2 linked regions of the Coturnix japonica genome follow. The protein of the gene in region 2 purifies or fractionates together with the protein of the main gene of each other region. This does not show direct contact. Links are inferred from orthologs where the notes say so. Each region holds a gene or a part of one and is shown on either strand. Other genes may lie near its edges.

The links. The genes of interacting proteins can lie anywhere in the genome.
Region 1: the proteins of NEUROG3 (region 2) and C1QBP purify together in Homo sapiens (affinity purification with mass spectrometry; 3 studies listed by BioGRID and IntAct, counting the BioPlex papers as one, with this or other methods). This does not show direct contact. The link is inferred for Coturnix japonica from reciprocal best matches to the Homo sapiens genes NEUROG3 and C1QBP.

Annotation. Positions count from the first base shown.
Region 1 is NC_029534.1:2,454,468-2,458,117, reverse strand, and holds C1QBP (complement component 1 Q subcomponent-binding protein, mitochondrial), read right to left. Parts: upstream 2,495-3,650; 5' UTR 2,447-2,494; coding exon 2,236-2,446; intron 2,146-2,235; coding exon 1,995-2,145; intron 1,914-1,994; coding exon 1,823-1,913; intron 1,623-1,822; coding exon 1,527-1,622; intron 1,288-1,526; coding exon 1,165-1,287; intron 956-1,164; coding exon 806-955; 3' UTR 544-805; downstream 1-543. Other genes in the region: ATP-dependent RNA helicase DHX33, read right to left, coding at 3,110-3,418.
Region 2 is NC_029521.1:8,931,567-8,934,044, reverse strand, and holds NEUROG3 (neurogenin-3), read right to left. Parts: upstream 1,122-2,478; coding exon 561-1,121; downstream 1-560. UniProt on the Homo sapiens protein: Acts as a transcriptional regulator. Together with NKX2-2, initiates transcriptional activation of NEUROD1. Involved in neurogenesis. Also required for the specification of a common precursor of the 4 pancreatic endocrine cell types.

The DNA of each region.
Region 1 (3,650 bases), on a different chromosome or scaffold from region 2:
TCCTTCTGTTCTAAAAGCAGGTTCCTCCTTACAATCTTACCCACTACACTCAGGACTATTAAGTATTGCCCTGGAATCAACAGGGAGGTTGATCAATAGTCACAAAGTATTCTGCCTCTTCTCGTTGTTCTGTCCTTGGCTGCCTTCAAGCTGAAATAAGAGGCAGCTCTTTAATGCATGGCTGCATGGTGCGGGAGCATCTCCTGCTCTGCCACTGGGGCTGACTCAGACCTTGAGGCATCACCTGGACGCAGCAGGTTGAGTAGAAGCCCAAATCTGCTGCTCTGCAATGCTGCTGATGTTCAGCATCCACAGGACTTGAATTACTGCAAGGAAAGAGCTCCAACTTGTCTGCAGTATTTTTCTAGAGCAGATGCGTTGATACTAACAGGTACAGATGGACTAGATTGGGCTAGAATAGCCCTGGAGAAAAACTGGCCTAACACTGCCCAGCTCTGCAGGCAGCTGCATTAACTTCTCAGGTCAGGGAACACACAGATATCCCTTATGGCAACTGATCAACATGAAGAAAAAAACAACTACTTTTCAGGGAGTTTTGAACACATTTTATTATTCACCTTCATTCCTAATGGTACAAAATGCAGCAGGGGGAGGCAGGTCCAGACAGTCCTGTTTGAGAACCTGAGCTGGGCTGCAACGTAGCATAAATACAAGTGAGGCCCCTCACTGTCCCGTGATGCTCAATTCCCAATTCAGTTACTCCATCTCTGTTGTGAAGATACGTTGTGGTTCTGCTGGTGGAGCACTGCTGTGTAATGCCCACACTGAACGCTGCTTTCCTTCCCTACTGACATTTAACAAAGCTTTTAAGGTCTTCAAGGAATTTAATGTACTCCTGATGCTCCAGCGCAGTGCTGAGCTCAATTAACTCATCAGCAAACGTGTTATCCACTCCTCGGTCAGCCAGGAAATCCATTAAGTGATCATACAGAGCCTGCAACAAGGAACAGAAAACAGCCTTAGCAGAGCACAGCTTCAAATCCTACTTAACTACTGCAATACAATTAGGCTTGTGGGCTCCCCCCTTGTTCCTCATAGAGCTGGTGCTCCTGCTTGGTGCCAATAGCTGCCATATCACCTCCAACAGGGTGAGCAAATGATTCATGATGGAATAGGAGTACAATGTAAATCAGCAGCACTTACCCAGTCGAGGGAATCCGTATTGAGGGTGTAGTTGGTGTCCTTCCAATCTGATTCCCCGGTGGGCTGGAAGCTGACCTCCCTAATGGTGAAGATGTCACTTTCTTCCTCTCCCTCGTGGCCAACCTGAAATAGGAAATGAGGCACAGGATGTATTAGCTGTAATTAGAGGGAACCATCAGCTGCTTCATCCTGCAGGTGGGAACACAACCCCCTTAATGCCACACATTGAGCTGATCAGAAGGTCAGGACATGAGCAGAAAGAAACCCATCCCATCAGTTTCCTTACAGAGATAAAACCTGTGTGAGGAGAAAAGAAGGAGGCAGCATTTTGTGCAGACACAGGAACCCAGAGCACAGCTCACCTCATCCTCGGGGTAATGGCAGTCAAGCACGAGGGTCTGCTTTGTATCATCCTTAATGACTTCCACAACAAAGTTTGGAGTCGATGTGATATCGGGCTGAAGGAGAGAAGCAGCCGATCAGTGCTGAGGGCTGAGCAGGAGCCAGCACAGCCACGAGGTGCCCGCAGTGCTCAGCAGGGGGTGGGATGGTCCATGGGGGTCTCCCAGGGCCGTCCTGCTCTGTGTGTTCCCACTCCCAAAATCAGACTGAGCACACGGCGGCCCTTTGTGGTCCCCTGGCTCTGTGCTGTGCTCACCTCCTCCTGCTCCTCGTGTTTCTGCTCCTCCGGCGCGTCCTCATCCACAGCGGGCGGGATGCTGTTGTTGATGTTGAAGGTAACCGTGATCCTGCACAAAGGACACGAGTTAAACCATCACAGCCGGGAAGGCCCCGCTCGCATCGCTCCCGTTCGTTATTTCATTGCTCACTTTTCCCCGGCGACTTTGCGCACCAGCCTCGCCTCGGTGCCGTGCACCTCCAGCTCCCACCCGCCCGACACTTTGGGCAGCGCTTTGTGCTTCTGGATCTTCCGCTCCTCCTGGATCTCATCCGTCAGGAACTGAGCGAACGCTTTGTCCCCTGCGGGGAGAGAGAAACCGCTCAGCACCGGCACCACCCCCCGCATCCACCCCCACCTCCATCACCACGTGCGGCTCCGTCCCGACTCACCCTCCGTGTGCAGCCCGCCGCAGCCGCAGGACACGCCGCCCGCAGTTCCCCGGCGCGGTCTGAGCAGCGCCGCCCTCCAGCCAACAACAACATCGCTCCGCTGCCACAGGGAACGAGCCGGGAGCGGCTGCGGGACGGACCAGAGCGAGCGGAGCGGGGACAGAGCGGGGCGGAACGAGGCGGCGGAACGAAGGGCTCGAGCGAGCAGCATGGCGAGAAACGGGACGAGGAGGAGGAGAATGACCCGGACGGGATCGGGGCGCTTCCGGAGCTCCGCCCCCGGTAATAAGGGGAGGGAACGAGATACAACGCGGAGTGACCTTGGGGGAGAGACCAGAAGGTTCCAAAGGAGGAGCCGGGCGGGGGGAGCCGCGCTGAGCAGCGCTCCGAGCGGACAGATGAGGCACCTCCATTCTGACAGTGAAACAGCACTTTGATTTTGCTCCTTGTATGTAGAAATTTATTTATTTGTCTTTATTTTCCATCGGTAAAACCTGCCCGGAACACAAACTGAACCATCAACAAATAGAGAGTTTGCTGCAGGAGCTGCTGGGCTCGTTTCCTTCCAGCCCCATCCATTACAGCTCAATGTTAAACACCAGCACAAAGCAGGTCCCGTTTTACACAGCAGCTCTTAACACCACGATGGTTCAAAGCCACAGGTTGCCATGAGTGCTGCCTCTCACAGAGAAGCCATTTTCCTCCCAGTTTTACACCTGTTTGCGATGCAAAACCCCGCTGTCCCTGCACAGATCACAGCCCAGCCCTGCACTGAGCCCTGCACTGAGCCCTGCATTGAGCCCTGCACCGAGCCCTGCATTGAGCCCTGCACTGAGCCCTGCACTGAGCCCTGTATTGAGCCCTGCAGCCCCACTCAGTTCTTGGCTGCTCTGAGTTTCCTGCGGAAATAGTCAGGTGCTGCATCATACAACCAGTCCGCGTCCACCACGCACAGGTCCCGCATGTAGCACTTGTTGGTGTGCAGCAGCCCGTTGTAAACCACGCAGCAGGGTTTGCAGTGGAACAGCACGGACGAGGGGTGGATGGCCACGGGCTGGTGGGAGCTGACGGTGCTGTAGGTGCCGTCCGGCTGCAGCTCGGCCGCGTTCATGAAGAGGCTGTGAGCCAAACAGCGGCGGATGTTGGAGGTGTCGGAGCGGGACGACTCCATGGGCAGCGATAACTGCAGGGACACAGACACGAGGCAGCAGGTCACAGCGTGCAGCACAGACACGGGCATCCCAACACATCTAACACTGCGAGCACAGCTGAGCCAGGAAGCACAGAGCACTTCCCTGCACTCCCTTTGACAGCCTCAATCCATAAGACAGGGACCATAAGCCCTACAGCACTGAAGCACTGCCCCAGCTCCACTTGCAGGCTCTAAGAATCCCTCCTGCTTGTGTGAAGGCAGA
Region 2 (2,478 bases):
ATAGGGGGACGCACGGCGCGAAATGCGCGCAGGGTGGTGGAGGGCGCACGGAGGGTTGCTCAAGGGCGCAGGACCCCGCTGAGCTGCTCTGAGCACACACAGTGCTCAGGCCTCCTCGCGGCCGGCGCTGTCTTCCCAGGCGCGTACTGCGCGCGATATTGAAAGATCTTGTTGGAAAGGAAAGCAGCGGGTTGCACAGGTCTGACCGCGACACACTTTATTCTCCTCTTCTTCCAATAGTAACTAAAAAATAATAAGAAAAAGAATACATTCGCGGCCCCTTCAGCGGTACAAACATACGGACCACCGCTGCCAAAAATACTCTTATATACAAAATATATATTTGTTACGAAATATAATCAATAAATACAGATAGCGACAAATTAATATAATTTACCGTTTCCGAGTACAAAACCGTGATTTGTGCCTGCCCGCCCGACCCAGGTCCTGCTTCGCCAGGCGGGACGGGGAGGGACGGGGGCCCAGCCGTCGCCCCCGGCGCAAGGTGCGCGAAGAGACCCTCGGGCGCTGTTCAGCGCCGGAGAGCGGCCCGGCTGCGCTCAGAGAAAGGAGGGGAAGGCGGCGGGGCCGCGGCGCGGGGCAGCGGGCGGTGGGGCGGCGGGGCAGGGCGAGCCCCAGGGCCCGGGGGAGGTGGCGGCGGCGACGGCGGCGGGGGGCGGCGGCGGGGGAGGTTCGGGTAAGCCCTGCTCGGCCAAGAGTAGGCTCTGCGTGAGCGCCCAGATGTAGTTGTGCGCGAAGCGGAGCGTCTCGATCTTGGTGAGCTTGGCGTCGTCGGGGAAGGTGGGCAGGACGCTGCGGAGCGCGTCCAGGGCGGAGTTGAGGTGGTGCATGCGGTTCCTCTCCCGGTCGTTGGCTTTCATGCGCCGGCTTCGCTTTTGCTTGCTGAGCGGCCCCTCGCCGCGCGCCTTCCCGCGGCCGCGCCGCGCCTTCCCCAACCCCTTCCTGCGGGCCGCCTCCCGCGGGGCCAGCGCGCTGCGGGCGGGGGACGCGCCCCGGCTGCCCGTGCCCGCGGAGCCGCCCGCGGCCGGGGATGCGGAGGCGTCGGGGTCGCCGAAGTAGGGTTGCCCGGCGCCAGGGGTGCGGTCGCTCTGAGGGGCCATCGTGCGAAGCCGAGCGGCGTCGGCCCGCGGGGAGCCGGCCCCGAGGCCCCGCTGCGCCCCGACGACGACGACTGCACCTGCACTCCCTCGGGGAAGGCTCCGCGACCGCCCCGTGCAGTCCCTTGAGCGCGGGCAGCACGGGTTGCACGGCCGGCACACGACTGCCGTTAAGCCCCTATATATAGGGCTGGCAGACAATGGGGATTTCCCGGTCGGGCGGCGTGCGCGCCCCCCCGCCCGCACCCACCCCTTGGCACGCTTTTATCTTATCAGCCCGCCGGGAGCGTGCCGGCCCGGCACCGCCCGCAGCCCCGGCCCGGCCGAGCGAGAGCCCCCGCAGCCCCTCCCGCCCCGCGCCCCCCAGGCTCCGATCGCCAGCGCCAGGCCGAGGGGGAGCCCTCTCTGCTGCCCGCTCCCGTCGCCCTCCCGCCGCACCCCGGGAAACAAGGGATGCCTCCCGCCGGGAAAGGGTCCCCCCGAAGTGTCCCCGGCCCCCCGAGCCCCGCCGGCCCCGCGCTTGGCCCGGGGAGGGCAGCCCCACCGCCGGGGCTCGGTGCGCAAAATGCTTCCGGAGCTTTGCGCACGGACGGCGGCGAGCGGCGGGGAGCTGTTCCCTCCCTGCCCTCGTTCGCCCGGCGCGGTGCGCGGGACCACGGACGGCGGGGCCGGAGCCCCCCGCGCAGCACGGAGCCCTCGGGTGTGGCGGGCGGGTCCGGCCTCGGGGCGCAGTCCGGGTGGGGCGGGAGCCCCCTGCTCCATCACCAAAACGGCGCGGCGATGCCCGCACGGGGACGACAGCTCCGCCGTTGGCCGTGCCGGACCGCGCCGGGGCGGGGGGCGCTGCCCAGGGCCGGGCCCCGCCTTCTTCTCCCCTCCGCTCGCCCGCGGTCCCCGGCCGCGGTTCGTGCCCGGGGGGGAGGCGGCGCGGGGCGCTGGGGCTCTCCAGGGGCGCGTGGCGGCTGCGCTCCCCCGCGGGCGGCGGTCGGGGAGCGGCGGAGCGGGGCCGAGGGGTGGGGGCGTGCGGCCCCGAGCGGCCCTCGCGTAGGGGCTGAGGAGAGGGCGGCGGGGGATGAATAGGGAGGACCCGGAGGGGCCTTTTTTTTTTTTTTTTTTTTTTTTTTTTTTTTTTTTTGTGCCTGTGCAATTGGATGACAAAAAAATCTGGCGAGCGAGTTTGCAAGGCTCAGACTGCCCACTTCAAACGTCCTTCAAACAAAAGCTGGAGAGGGAAAGAAAGCCCCACCTGGTACCGCTGTTTGCTAAAATAATAATAAATAGATTTCGTTTAATAAATAATTACAAGAGATTGTAAAGTGGAGTGCTTTGGGAAGCATTAATCACGGGGCCGGGGGCAGAC